Elephas maximus indicus: one gene and its partner. Each later gene encodes a partner of the first gene's protein in a complex. Links are inferred from orthologs where the notes say so. Each region holds a gene or a part of one and is shown on either strand. Other genes may lie near its edges. The genes, in order: WRAP53 and GAR1.

What was found.
Region 2: WRAP53 (region 1) and GAR1 share a complex: the UniProt entries of both Homo sapiens proteins name them as parts of the telomerase holoenzyme complex. The link is inferred for Elephas maximus indicus from reciprocal best matches to the Homo sapiens genes WRAP53 and GAR1.

What each region holds. Positions count from the first base shown.
Region 1 is NC_064837.1:13,113,553-13,121,212, reverse strand, and holds the start of WRAP53 (telomerase Cajal body protein 1), read left to right. Parts: upstream 1-4,555; 5' UTR 4,556-6,093; coding exon 6,094-6,494; intron 6,495-6,626; coding exon 6,627-6,725; intron 6,726-7,143; coding exon 7,144-7,255; intron 7,256-7,660. UniProt on the Homo sapiens protein: RNA chaperone that plays a key role in telomere maintenance and RNA localization to Cajal bodies. Specifically recognizes and binds the Cajal body box (CAB box) present in both small Cajal body RNAs (scaRNAs) and telomerase RNA template component (TERC).
Region 2 is NC_064823.1:41,298,869-41,306,834, forward strand, and holds the start of GAR1 (H/ACA ribonucleoprotein complex subunit 1), read right to left. Parts: upstream 3,412-7,966; 5' UTR 3,017-3,411; intron 3,002-3,016; exon of another isoform or gene 2,745-3,001; intron 2,391-2,744; 5' UTR 2,379-2,390; coding exon 2,165-2,378; intron 311-2,164; coding exon 156-310; intron 1-155. UniProt on the Homo sapiens protein: Required for ribosome biogenesis and telomere maintenance. Part of the H/ACA small nucleolar ribonucleoprotein (H/ACA snoRNP) complex, which catalyzes pseudouridylation of rRNA.

The DNA of each region.
Region 1 (7,660 bases):
GGCAGGGAGGGACTCAGAAGGCAAAAGCCCTAGATTAAAAAAAAAAAAAAATTTTTTTTGCCCATGACCTTAGACAACATACTTCATTTCTCTGGGTCTCACTTTTCCTCATCTGTAAAATGGAAACAATCACAATACCTATACTACAGGAATAATTTTTTGGCTTCCTCACTCACAGAACTTAAACTTTACTCATCTTTGTGGTTTCAGTGCAAAGTGCTCAGGAGCTGGGAAACACGGGCAGCCCCTGGGTGCAGGGGCTCTGAAGCAGGCAGGCTAGGCCTGCATCCCAGTCTAATAGCTATGTAACTTTAGGAAGTAACCTAACTTCGCTGTGCCTTAGTGTCCTTCACTCTAAAATGAGAATTAAAGTACCTACTTTATTCCGTTATTATGAGGAATAGAAAGAGTTGAGAAAAGTGCCTGGCACACAGTAAGAGCTCAATAACTATTCCAGCACCACCAGCTGCCATCAAGTTGATTCCAACTCGTGGCAATCCCACGTGTATCAGGGTAGAACTGCGCTCCCTAGGGTTTTCAATGGCTGATTTTTCAGAAGCAGATCACCAGGCCTTTCTTCCTAGATACCTCTAGATGGACTTGAACTTTCAACCTTTTGGATAGCAGTGGAGTGTGTTAACTGTTTGGACTACCCGGGGACTCCTCAATAACTGTTAAAACCCATTAACCCGTTGCCATCGAGTCAATTCTGACCCATAGCGACCCTATAGGACAGAGTAGAACTTCCCCATAGGATTTCCAAGGAGCAGCTAGTGGATCCCAATTGCCCACCTTTTGGTTAGCAGCCCGAGCTCTTAACCACTATGCCACTGTTTATATGATAATGATCCTTATTCTAGAATGAGAACTTTGTCATGGTGGGCTAGTGGGGCTTTTGCAGTACTGCCCCCACCCTGTTAATTCAAGTTCACCTCCTTCAGGGACCTGTTCAGTAAACACATCAGGAAGGGCTGTTCTGGGATGGGGGTGCTCAAGGTCTCAATTCCACTCAGAGATATACAACCTCATAGGAGGGCCCAAGCCAAGCCCATTGCCTTTGAGTTGATTCCAACACTTTAGTCCTCAGTAGCAACTGAATCTGCAATGTTTCTTTCTCTAAAGAGCAGGCCATCACTAGCAAACTTTCTCAGAGCAGGTATTCTCCACAGGTACCAGTGAGGTGGCCACGACACAAAATGTTCAGAAGTTGAAGAGGACTTTCCAAAGGGCTGGGGAGGCCAGACATTTATATGGGGGAGGAAATCAACACTGCTGGGACTCCAGGGAGGGGCAGGCCCCATGATAACAATGGCTGTTGTTTACAGGCACCCTCCAGGGCCCACTGCTTTCTGTGGCTTAAATCCTCTCAGAAAGCCCTTAAGGTAGGTATTATCACCAGATGAGGGGACCGAGGGTCAAAGGAATTAAGTCACTTTCCCAGGTTCATAAAGCTCCCAAGGGGCAGGGCCAGGGATTTGAACCTGGGCTGTCTGAAACCACATCCAAGATCTAATAATTATGTTGCTCAAGCTTCACCCAGAAGCTGGCACTTTTTTTTTTTTTTTTTTGCTGAAAGTTATTTGATTAGGAAAACAAAAAAGAAAAATCGATTCTGGAAAGGATCTGAAGCAAAGTACCAGTATCTGGAAAGATTTAAAATGCACACACCTTACTATTCAGCAAAATCACTCCTGGATCGACTCCATAAAATATATTTGCATGTGAGCAGCAAAAAGGAGTCTTACAAAAAATGTTCAGTGCTGTTCCTAATGGCAAGTGGCAGGAGACACATAATATCCATCAATAGAATGGCTAAATAAACATGGCATATTCACAAAAGAAGCTTACTGCAGTAGTTTACAGAAATTAATATATCTGTATGTATGTAAACGTATTATCTCAAAACAGATTGGGTGATAAATAAAATTTGTAGAAAAAAGCAAAACACAGTATTGTCAGAATCAAGTCGATTCTGACTCATGGTGATCCCACGTGTGTCAGTGTAGGACCGTGCTCCCTAAGGTTTCCAGTGGATGATTTCTTGGAAGTAGACTGCCAGGCTTTTCTTCTGAGGTGCCCCTGGGTAGACTTGAACTTCCAACATTTTGGTTAGCAGCCCAGCTTTAATGGTACCACCCAGGGACTCCATGTATCACAAACCACAAGGCAAATTAAAAGAAAAGAAAAAAAAAAAACACAAAACGACTATTTATTGCCTATAAACATATGCATGTAAAAGTGCGAAAGACAGGCCACAATTAACATTGACAACATTTTTGCTATGATCGCAACAGTTTCTGGGAGACAGGTATGTGTGCTCATGGGATTGGGAGTGACAGTCAAAGGGAGGTTTATGTATACTGCTGTTGCCACCCGTTACCCTGCTGTATTTATTAGCACTGGTAGCTTTTCATGAATTTTCTATGAGGATTTCTTATATACACAAAACTGGCTGTGAATAAAGCTATTTAAGTTCTTCTTTTGCAATCGCTATGATTTTTTTTTTTTTTGCTTGGTTAGGACTTTGTTATATCGCAGAAGCGATGCGAGTGGAATCTTTTCCTAGCTCCTGATTGTGGAGGAAAAGCATTCAGACTCTCACTATGATGTGTGCTGTTGATGGTAAACCGTCGTGGATTCCCTTTATCCGACTGAGGACACTACCTTGTTCTGTTTTTTCACATTTTTCTTTTTTTTTTTTTTTTATTGTGGTGCCCAATATAGCTACTTTATTCGTAAAAATAAACGTGTTTCCAACTCAATGGCCACCAAAAAGAGAATGGGTAAACGGTGAAATATATAAATAAAAATACTGAAACACCACTGATAAATGCAATGGATGAATTTCACACACATCATGCTTTAGGAAAGAAGCCGGGCATAAAAGAGTACATCCTGTATGACTCCATTTATGTGGAGTTCTCGAACAGGCAAAACTAGTCCATTATGGCAAAAATAAAAATAAAGGTGTGTGTGGAGGGTCCGAGATTGAGGAGGAAGAAGCATGAGAAAACTTTTCTGGGGTGATGAAAATGTTCTATATTTTCATGGACGTATGGGTTACATTCATCTTCCTGTACACTCGAAGTTGCACTATGTGTAGCTGCTACAAGTAAAGAAAACAAGAAACACATTAAATACCGCGCACAGTGCCTGTTCGTAGCAGGTGCGTGGTAACTGCTGAATGAACCAAGACCCTACGTGATGGAGATGCGGGAGAAATGGACTCTCTTTGGGCTTCAAGCGGGTCGCACCGCCTCCCTCCCACCAGCAAGAACCAGCAGGGTCCGAAGGGCTGGACTTGGGACCTCGGAGCCCGCCCTTCCCCTAGGCCCGCCCCTTCCGCTTTCAGGACGTTCAGGCTGCGTCCGAAATTGGAATTGCTTAGCCCAAAGCCAGGTAGAAGATAGATTGTTTCTCAGGCACAAACCAACGGCCCATTATTGCCACTTTTTCGCCCTTGATTTTCAAGTGTAAGCCTTCTCGGAAATATCCAGGTTTGCACTCTGCATTTTTATTTTTTAACCCATCCCACGCAGTGGTCTCGTCCGCCTCGATCGCAGGCGACCGGGGGTGGGGCACACCATTCAAGAGGGGGAGGGACTGAGCTTTGCATCAAAACAAATACCCCTTTTTTTTTTTATACAAAAGAGGTAACTAATAAGTCCTGGGAAAAAAGAAAGGGAAAAGAAAGAGCAGCGTTCCTCCGCAAGTAATACGAACTAGTCTGAAGTACATTTTCTGTTTCCTTCTACTCCCCTCCCATCGGGTGACTAGTGAGCTGCTCCGATTAAAAGAAACCGGAAATGCTATGCGAGCGGCAGAAATGCAAATGTAGAGCCAAACAATAACAGGACTCTCCTAACAGTCTTTAATTGAATTATCTCCACCTAGCAGCGCCGGGGCTGGCTGGAAAGACCACGCCAGGAAGGACAAAGGTCCGGAAGTTATGGACCCTTACCAGTTCGGGCTTGCTGTTATCACCTCAAATAATCTTTTGGGATGGAGCCTGAGAGTCCACCAGGATGCCATGGGCTCTAGTCTCGAGCCATGAATTCCCAATGTTCCGAGATCGGACAGACTCAGACCCCAACTCGTTGAGCGTCTTATTTCAGGATTCCCATACCTGGTACTTGGATAGGAAGGTAGGGTGGGGAAGAATCTCTTAGGCCGGCTCAAGTTTCCCCTAAAGCCCCACTCTCCCGCCCAGGTGTTAAAGCTCTAAATCTGCTGGTACTAACATCCTTTTACTCTACCCCCAGGGCTCGAAACATTGCACTCCTATGTTGATCCGTCAGCCAAACTCCAAAACTCGCTAAATCTCCAATGCCCCACCCCCAGCCCCTGCGATCTCCGAGCTGAAAATGCACGGAGCCGAAAGCTTAGAGAGGACTCATCAGGCTGTCAAGAGCTTACCCGAACCTCAGGCGAGCGTGTAACCGTCCTTGGAAGCACGCTCCGAGCCCGGACACCAGGTACCGCCAGAGCCCAGCAGCTAGCTGCAACCAGGATGGTGGCTTTGGGCTTTTGAAGAGCTGAAAACTTTTAGCGCCAGTGTGAGCACATGGGAAGGGAAACTCCCAATCCCAGCAACCACCGCGAGGCTTCTGGCACAAAGCTGGACAGTCGCCATGACAAGTAAGGGCAAGTAATTTGCCTGTAGGCAGGGGCGAAGCGGATAAGGAGTGGGAGAGGAGGGAGCGAAGAGAACCAGGATTTTGTGGTGGGGAAGTTCTACAAACTAGAGCTGCAAGAGTAGAATTGATGGAAAACATTTTGGAGTATTCAGGCCATTGTGTCAAATATGCAGTGTGGAAAAAAAAGAAAGCCTTTGTACTTGCTTTTCCTTCTCCCTAGAACGCTTCTCCAGGTAGTTGGATAAATTTCTTCTCATCAGCTAAAATGTCACCTGTTACGGAGGCCGTCTTTGATATCCCCATCTACCCTATTCTTTCAGATAATTTCCTTCACAGCCCTTGTCACTATCTGAAAAGATTTGTTCATTAACTTCAATACACAGCAACGTAAGCCTTTTAAGGGCAGAGACTTCGTCTACTGATAGAAAGTTAAAAAAAAAAAAAGCCAACAAGTAAAAACAAACAAACCTGTTGCTGTCAAGTCAGTTCTGACTCATGGCCACCCCATGTGTTGCACAGTAGAACCGTAGAACTGCTTCATCGGGTTTTCTTGACTGTAATCTTTACGTGGAGCCCTGGCAGTGCAGTGGTTAAGAGCTGACCGTCTAACCTAAAGGTTGGCAGTTCAGTTCCATCAGTCGCTCCTTGGAAACCCTATGGGGCAGACTTATAGGGTCGCTATGAGTTGGAATCAACTCCACGGCAACAAATTTGGATTTTTTGGTTTAGTGTTTATGAAAACAGATAGCCAGGCCTTCCTTCCATGGCACCACCGCTGGGTAGTTTTGAACCGCTAAGGAGCACAAGTTTGCACCACCCAGGGACCTGGGTAGCAAGAATATTTTTTTGATAAATGAAAAAAGAGGGAGGCTTGCGGAATTTGGCGACTGAGACGCAAAAGAGGTTCAAAAACTGTAAAGTCAAATACAGTGCTGGCGCCCACTGCAGATTACGTGGGTAAGCGCTTTAGTCTTTACGAACGACCGCTGGAGACGGCAGGGGGAGCTCGGGTACTTTCGCCGAGGCAAAAGCGTTCAGCCTACAACTCCCAGCAGCCATTGAGGGTCCCAGAGCTTAATGGGAACTGTAAACGGTCTGACGTACATCACCGCCCCGCTCCGCCCCTCCTGTGGGTCTCCCGGGAAATCTGATCTGGGATGCGGAGGCCCAATCGGAAGGTGAGGCCAAATCCCGCGAGAGCAAGTGGCGCGTAGCGACCCACGGAGCTAAGGAACGCTGTGGTTTCCACTTTGGTGTGCCCAGTTCGTCTCGCTTGCTGGAGATCTGCCCCCTCTCGGGAGAGGAAGGGAGGCACAGGTGGGTTTCTCCGGTCCTCGGTCCGGATCCCTGCGAAGTCTGAAGCTGCCCCGGCCGCTCTGCGAAGTAGGCAACCAGTAGCCAAACGGAAGAGGGTTGCCCGGCCCGAGGCCAGTGTCTGTCGCACTTTCTCTGCAGTATGCAGACGCCGGAGGCGCAACCGTTAGCTCCAGACTGCCTTCCTTCAGTCCAGGCCCCAGCTCCAGCCACTCTCTCGCCCCAGGCTTCCCCGATGGATAAAAATACGGACCCTGAACTAATACTGCTGCCACCCGAAGGGGCTGATCCGTCCAGGATATCCCCAGATCCCGTGGCTGTCTCAGCTGTGTCCCAGGAACTGGGTGAGGAGGGCCCAGCTTCTCTCTCCACTCTCTCGGAAACGGGATTTGGTACCCCTGGGGAGTTGAGTCCTCGAATCGAGGAGCAAGAACCTGAAAATGCGAGCCTTTCTGCAGAAGAAACGAACAGACCGGAGTTGGGGTCTGGAGAAGCCATGGAAGGTGTGTCCAAAGAGCCAGCTTTAGAGGATGAGGGAAACACGTAAGTTGACTCTGGGATCAGGAGTTTGGAAGTGTGAGATGTATGGTATCCTCCAGCCCTCACCTACTTCTCCAGCCCCATTTCCTCTTCGCTTTGGCGATCCAGATTTGTTGTCTCCTATCTTCCTTCCAGCACTTGGAATTACAGCTTCTCCCAGCTGCCTCGATTTCTCAGTGGTTCGTGGTCAGAATTCAGCACCCAACCCGAGAACTTTCTTAAAGGATGTAAATGGTAAGTAAGGATAATGAGACAGGGTCACTTGAAAACACCCCAGGTATATTAGTCCTGGTGGCACAGTGGTTAAGATCCCAGGTTGCTAACCAAAAGGTCGGCAGTTTGAATCCACCAGCTGCTCCATGGAAACCCTTTGGGGCAGTTCTTTTCTGTCCCATTGGATCACTCTGAGTTGGAATTGACTGACTGCAGTGGATTTGGTCTTGATTATCTGGGAGAAGGACCTGGTTGAGACAGAGATGGGGGAAAGAATAAGAATCCCTCTTAAGATTGAGCTTAAATTCCATGCAGGGCTTTGGGTCCTCCACTTCTCTCAAGAACTTAGAGTGCTTACCTATCCCAGAGGTAGGCTCAGCCGTAGCTTTACAGTTGGAAATCATGTGTCTGCCCAGCCTTGTAACTCTTTTGCTTTTAGGGCCCCTGACGGTTCCTGCATCTTGACCAATAGTGCTGATAACATCTTACGGATTTACAACCTGCCCCCAGAGCTGTACAGTGAGGAGGAGCAGCTGGAATATGCAGAAATGGTAAGGGCAGGGGCTAACTCTACCCCTTCCTCAGATACCTTGCATTTAACTCTTTGCACTTAGATGGAGAAAACATAGTCTACATGTCTCCTATTCACAAACGGGACCCTTCTGCACCATGAATTCCAGGCAGCATTTTCTGCCCTGAATTCTGAAGTATTTGAAGAGATCTTTGCCTCTTCTTCAACCAGGAATATATTTTTTATGAAAAATTAGTGGGTTTCTTGTGGTAGTATTTAATTTATCTACGGATATTTGTTGAGTGACTAACCAGTATGCCAGTCACAGTGTTTGGTGCTGGGATGAACTGGTGAACAAGACAGATGAAAAGCTGATTTCCTTTCTTGAGTGTGAGATAGACAGCAAACATGTAAACCTATAAGTAATCAGGATCATTACAGGTTA
Region 2 (7,966 bases), on another chromosome or scaffold:
CTCATGATTCTCCTTTATGGTCCAATCTGTAATAATAATTATTCTGTCCAATATAATGAGGCAGCAAGTTTAATTAACCCAATACTTAATCACCTCAGAAAAAGCAAGTAGAAACTTTTAATGAGCTCACTAAGTCTTCCAGTTAAAAAGGATACAAAATCTCTAAGCTGTCCAAATATTTCATCCACTTTTCCAATCTGTTCTTTGTTTTCTAAATAAACAGGTGCATTGAAGTAAGGCACCTTATTTTCATCTGTGACACATTTACAAACAAGGTCATCTTCACAGGGGTGCATGAACTCTCCTAACACTGAGATAAGACAAGAAAAGGTTAATATATAAAGCTATTTCAAATGATACTGACCAACCTCTTCTGAAGGCTTTCTTCTTGGCTTCCTGGGATGTCATCATAACTATTATCATCTAAGCCAAAAGATAACAGTCAATGAGAGTATAGACTCTGGAATCAGACTTTCTAGGCTGGTATACCAATTCCACAATGTACTAACTATGTGATCTAAGTTACCCACTCTCTGTCTGCTTCGACGTCCTCATCTTTAATATGTGGCTAATAATGGTACCTCCATCTAATGTATGGTATTGTGAAGATTAAGTGGGATAATGAATGTTGTTTTATTTCTTTACTAGAATGACACTTATTATTTGATTAAACAACGCTTCATTCTCCTGACTTCTCTTCCTTCTCCCCAATCCCTAACTATGAATCAGTCTTTGTTTCTCTATTGCCTTTTTTTCTTCTCTGTTAAAACATACCCATTCCCACTACCACCTCTTCACCAATGACTCTTCAATTGTTCAAGAATGTTTGGAATTTCAAACAGCCTCTATTGGCTGAAAGCCGAGAATACCAGAAAGATGTTTACCTGTGTTTTATTGACTATGCAAAGGCATTCAACTCTGTGGATCATAAATTATATATGCAAAAAAAGGGAATTCCAGAGCACATGATTGTGCTCATGTGGAGCCTTGTACATAGACCAAGAGGCGGTCATTCGAACAGAACAAGGGGATTCTACATGGTTTAAAATCAGGAAAGGTATGCATCATGGTTGTATCCTTTCACCATACTTATTAAATCTATATGCTGAGCAAATAATCCGAGAAGGTGGGCTATATGAAGGACTCAGCATCAGGATTAGAGGAAGACTCATTAACAACCTGCAGTATGCAGATGATACAATCCCTTTTTGCTGAAAGCGAAGAGGACTTGAAACAATTACTGATGCAAGTTGAGGATGACATCTCAACATAAAGAAAACAAAAATCTTCACACTGGCTCAATAAGCAACACCACGATAAACAGAGAAAGGATTGAAGTTGCCAAGGATTTCATTTTACTTGGATCCCAATCAATGTCCATGGAGGTAGCAGTCAAGAAATCAAACAACGTATTACATTAGACAAATCTGCTGCGAAAGACCTCTTTAAAGTGCTAAAAAGCAAAAATGTCACTGAGAGCTGAAGTGTGCCTGACTCAAGCCATGGTATTTTCAATTGCCTCTTACGGGTCTTATGCATATGAAAGCTGGACAAGTAAAAAGGAAAACCAAAGAAGACATGACGCATTTGAATTACGATGTTTGGCGAAGAACAGGGGATACACCATGGACTGCCAGCAGAAAAAACAAATCTGTCTTGGAAGTACAGCCAGAATGCTCCTTAGAAGCAAGAATGGTGAGACTTTCTCTCAATTACTTTGGACGTGTTAGTAAGAGGGACCAGTCCCTGGAAAAGGACATCATGCTTCGGTCAGGGAAAGAGAGGAAGACCTTCAACTGAAATGGCTGCAAGGATGGGCTCAAGCAAAACAACGACTGAACGCTGCGAAGAACCAGTGATTCGTTCTGTTGTATACATGGTCACTATAAGCTGGAACCAACTCGATGACTCCTGACAACTCTTCCTTTCTGTCAAAGCTCAAGTTCCACTTCCATGATGCATTCTAAGTGTCCTTCACCTTCTTGGTCTCCCCCTCATATGCTACAGCATGATTATAAGTCAGTTAACAACATTACTCACTAACAGACTTGCCTCCCCAAGCAAGCAGCAACTTCCCTACGATAACACCTGACTCCAAGTCAAACTTTCTGACTAACAACACAAGCCCCAAGTCCCAAAGAAGCCATGCATTGAGCTGACATACAAACTACACGTTCTGGAGGTCCTTGGTCTTGGAATTTGTTAAAGCCTCCACGGCCACCCCCTCGTCCAAATCCGCCTCTGCCGCCGCCGCTGCCGCCTCTGAAATTGCCGCCGCCTCCACCTCGGAAGTGGTTGTTGCTGCCGCCGCCGCGACTGAAGCCGCCACCTCCACCACCTCGATTAAAGCCTCCACGACCTCCGCCTCGAAAAGACATGCTCTCTCCTACCTGGTGAGAAAAACGGTACGTGCCTTCAGGTCACTGTAGCCTCTGGATACACCACCTAACTCATCTGAGCCTCGGTCAGAAAACCATAAAAGGGGACAGTGATAATGGTCAGCCCTACCACCCCACTCACGGCCAAGGCACCTGTGACGAACACGAGGAGTGAGCCGTGGCACCTCTCCATGGACCTTCGGGCGCCGACCACTCACCATCCTCGTCGCCCTAGGGTTAGTACCTCCTCCCCCAGCTGGCACCGAGGTCTTCATGCTACATTCCCTTCCTCCCTTCCTCCCTCCTTCCCTGGCTGCGCTCCACATCCAGAACGCTCAGATCTTCGGGCTTCCTAAAGCCACTTACCGGCGCCACGTGCACCTCTGGCCCGGACGGTGCACGCACACCCACTTTCCCGGTACTTCCACCACCCGCGAGCCTCCTCGGCCACCGTATCTGCGTAGAGTGGGAGGGGGGAAATGCCCCGACCGGAAGTTGGAATAACTGACCAGCCAAAAGGAGCCAGTCACCAGCGAGACCAGCGACGATTTCACCTTTCTAAAACAGGTTTCATCCCCGTAAAAGTAAGAGCGATATCAAGCTTCAAACGCTAGTTTACAACAATTACGTCAACTTGCCTGACGACGGGCAGAGGAAGTGACGTAGGTAGCGTCCTTTGCATCATGACGTTAAAGGAAGTGCCGCTGCGCTGTTGCCCTTGGAGATGGATGGCGTTAGGGCTCTGCCACCTCTCCCGGGAGCCAGGAGGGTACTATTTGGAGCACGTTCGCTCCAGCGGTCACTGCGGACTGGCCGCGCGCTGTAGCTTCTCGGGCAGTAACATGATCCCCGACCTCGCTCTTCAGTTCATTGTCCGCTCTAGCAACCGTGCAGTCACAGCTCTGAGGACTCTTGATCCGCGCTCTGCCCAGAGGTGGATCTGGCCGCGTCGGAACCTGTCACAACCAGTGACGGGCTCGTCTGCGTTCTTTGTTCCGGAATTCTTTGTTTTTTCCGGTTCTTTTGAAGTACGCACCATTGTGGACTGAACTGTTCTTGTGCTTTTGTCCTGTGATTTCACTAGCTGCAGGAAGAAAAACAATGTGTATTTATATGTATATACGTTTAAAGAAACTACATTATCTGATAGAAAGCCAAACTTTTTTTTTTTGGTACCAGGTAGTTTATTCATGTGTCAAGTACTTTTTGAGCATAGACCTGGTGTTAGGCTGTGCCCCAACCTATACTGGTTGCCCCTCACCCCCTTCCCTCCTTCAGCCTTCGCTACATCTGTCTTCAGCTTCCCTCCACCAGCTAAAACTTCTCTCCCAAAGAAAGCTTGTATAACTTCCGATTAGTTAGCTTTGGTTGGATTCTTTTACACCCGAATTCTCTGCGACCTTTTCTTGATATTTGACATTGCTGACCATCCCTTCTTTGAAAGAGAGTGAGGATTGGCACCTATTTCAGAAGGCAATTATAAGTTTAAGTGAGATTTTGAAAGAACTTTGTGAACTCCACTATAGAAATGTTAGAAATTATAGTATGTCTTCTACACTAACTTAAAAGCTCTTTGAGAGACACCTGAGTTCTGTATACAAAATGAATTTGATAAATGTAGCTTTAATTCAGATTCGATAAATGTACTTAAATTCTGTCATACGGGAGTAAAATTACTCATACCTGCCATGCTGTTTTACTTTTGTGTCACTTAAGTTTGGTCTTTTATCTCCTTTTGGTGTCCCACTACTATCTCCAACTCAGTATGATGAAATCATTGAACTTTTTTGGGACCTTCAAGAGCACCTGGAGCCTACCACCTTTATTCTACAAGTAAGGAAATGACATTCCAAGAAGCAAAGTAACTTTCCCAGCTGGTTAGAAAGAAACTTGAAATGGGTTTTCACAGTCCTCAGTCCTTCTCTACCCATCCCGCTTTCCTCTTGCCAAAATGTTCATGTTTCCAAATCTCTGTTTGTCTTCATGATACAATCATACTCTTGTTTTCTAAATATTTGGACTCAAACCTTTCAGCACTCTCCTTCTTCCCTACCACCTATCCACAATCCAGTCTTTTATCCGAAGCTAGCAATTTCTGTTAATTCCTTCTAAGGTAGCTTTGTACTGTCAACAACCTATTACAGGCCTCCTGTTGTCGCTGCCAAATTTTCTTATGTTATCTCTACCCTAGATCACCCTATAAAATGTGCAAGAATTCAAAAGACCAGAAATAACAGTGAATCACAACATCCTGTCACATTTTGAGCATCTTGGTTACCTCAAACTATGCTTCGAGGCTACACTCTTCCTCCCGTCATCTGTACTGCATATGATGACATATTGAACTTTCCAAATCAGTTCCCGCATGTCATATCCATCCCCAGGACCCAAAACAGCTTCCTGTTCCCTTTAGCATTGAGTCTAAAATAAAATCTCCACATTCTATATAAAACTTTATATAATTAGTTGTGTTTCCCTCCTGTGTTATATACCATTCCTCCGTTCCAGCAGGCCAGCATCATCACCAGACAGCCTGCATGCCTTGCATCTTGTGCTGTCCCTTTGTCAAACACTTGCTTGGAAAAGCTCCATTTTCCATCCACTCGACTGGCCTTTTTCTTTTTACCTGAGGAACTCTTAAAAATTTTTTCATGTCTCAGGAACCCCTACATAAAAATTATTATATATACAGACCACAGTATGTTAGCATGATCAAGAAGTTGTAAATAAAAAACCAGCTGCTATCCTGGCGATTTCGCTCATGGCAACTCTATGTGTGTCAGGAGTAGAACTGTGCTCCACAATCCAATGATAATTGTCAGTGCTCTTTTGAGTAAATAATGATGTTTTTCTATGAATCTGTTTATTTTTGTCCAGCTTGTTAGCCTACTCTGTAGCTCTCCCTCCTCACAAAGAATATCAACTCTAATGCAAATTAAATGAGAAAGGAAACCTCAGCTTTTCTTTAAAAAAAAAAAAAACCTTGAATTTTTAAATCTTACCCAAATAGGCCTAAAAGTATTCACAAATTTCTGCTATATAAGATGCTAACGAGGTATGGTATGCGGTATATGATATGTGCAGAAGTAGGTTTTTCCCTCTATTTAAAACTGAAAATGACTTTTTAGCCAAACTTTCTTGAAGGGGTTGCGGGGGGGGGGGGGGGACAACAGGTTAAGCTTAGCTTACTTTTCTTGAGATTAATCTCTTTCCTTTTTATAAACCAAAACCAAACCCAGTGCCGTCAAGTCAATTCCAACTCATAGTGACCCTATAGGACAGAATAGAACTGCCCCATAGAGTTTCCAAGGAGCATCTGGCGGATTCGAATTGCTGACCCTTTGGTTAGCAGCCATAGCACTTTACTACGCCACCAGGGTTTCCAAACCCGTTGCATTCAAGTCGATTCTGACTCATAGCAACCCTATGGGACAGAGTAAAACTGCCCCTTAGTGTTTCCAAGGAGCAGCTGGTGGATTCAAACTGCTGACCTTTTGGTTAGCAGCCAAGCTCTTAACCACTGTGCCACCCGGGCTCCTTCCTTTTTATAAACTATAAATATTTATATGGCAAACATCATAACTTTCTGTTGAGTAACTGGCCTCAGGCAAAATGGATTTTATTTTTTTTTAAGGTAGGCTCAGTAGATCTAATTTAAATTTAGTAAAGGCTTCAAATTGATTTTTATTAATGTTGTTTACAAAATGAAAAAAGTATTGAGAATGTGGAAGAGTGAAGCTACTAAAATCACAAACCAAAGCAATAGTAAAAATATAGCCCAAGACATAATTTTACTTAAGACTTTGAAAATACATTTTCTTACTCAGTGACTTGATCAGACTCAAATATAGGCCTGTTGTTGTTAGGTTTCGCTGAGTCGATTTTGACTCATAGCAACCCTATGTGACGTAGTATATAACTGTCCCATAGGGTTTTCTGGCTGTAATCTTTATGGTAGCAGATCGTCAGAGCTTTCTTCTACAGAGCTGCTGGGTAGGTTCAAACCACCAGCCTTGGAGTTAGCAGTCGAACACTTAATTGCACCACCAAGGCTCCTAAATATAGGCCTAGCAGTTACAAAATTATGCACATGTGTTGATTTCTTGATCTCTTTTTATAGGCCTATATATGCATAAAGTGTTACTTTTGAAACGAAAAATACTGAAATTTGCCTAATTCGTGTGAAACCTTTGCTTATCTTTTGCTGCACAGATGCTCAATTCTGAGTCAAACTTAAGATTGGCACACACAGATTTTATTTTCAACTGATATGAAATGATTTCTGCCTTTGCTCTTAATGCTCCTGAGACAAGAAAAGGTTTGCTCACATGTGAGAAGTTGAAAAGTACAGTAAAACATGTATTTGTGTTCCTATGAATTTCCTTCACAGAAATCCAGAACTTGTAGAGGGCAGATCAGTACATTTCATCTTATGTTTATACAGAGAATAATTCTTCCTCTTCTCTCAGATTCTCAGGCTGAGAAGAAGACTCAGAGAAATAAACCCTCATCCAGTCATATATTTCTGTTGAAAGGGAAGGAAAAATGCTGTTTAATTTTGTTCTCCAATCCCCTCAGGTGGTCTTCAATAACACTTGAGACTTCTCACTTTCAAATCTAAGCAGCAGTGGGAACATTTCAAGATTTCCTTTTGCAGTATGATTTTCCCAAAGACTCAGTTTCCATTTAACCCCAAAAATCTTATCACTTGAAGTAAAATATTTTCTCCATCTTTAAGTAGTTCATGTGGTGAAAAATATCTGCTAACTAGTTTCTGCAGCCATCTTTATCGTCAAAGCACTTGACAAAATCTGGCTTACTATTTTCTTGAAAGTATTTCTAACAGGTCACCTTTCAGCTCAAACATCCTGTAAAGAACCAAAATCAGTATCAGTTTTTCTTTCTGTATAAGAAATTACTCCAACACTTAGTGGCTTAAAACAATAAATATTTATCTTGCACAATTTGTGGGTCAGAAATTCAGGAGCAATTCAGCTGGGTTGTTCTGGCCCAGGGTTTCATGAAGTTTCCGTCAAGATGTCCATGGGGACTACAGTCATCTGAAGACTTGACTGGGGCTGGAGAATCATTTCCGAGGTGGCTCACTCACATTCCTAGCAAGTTGATGCTGCCTGTTGGCAGGAGACCTCGTTTCCTCACCACATGGACCTCTTCACAGAGATTAAGGACTTGAATATTCTCATGACGTGTCAGCTGGCTTCTCCCAGAACAAATGATCTGCTAAGCCACAAGATTCATGCACATGGCAGGAGATTTGTGTTGTCTTTGTCCAACACAGTTTTAAACACAGCTTAAAAAAAAAAAAAAATTTTTTTTTTTTTAAATACTGCTTAAATGCCACAGTGAACTGGTCTTGGTTTGATAAGGTTAACCATTTTTATAGCATCATCCAGAACTTCTTTTGTTTTATCTCCAAAAGTTTCTAACACCAGCATGACTCTGGGACGAAAGCAGTGTGTTGTGAAAACATCAGGATTTTCTTTCTCTACAAGAGATGTAACCTCTCAGGGAGTCAATCTTTGATGGGCACCATCAATACAGATGCCAACACACTTCCTCCAAGACAT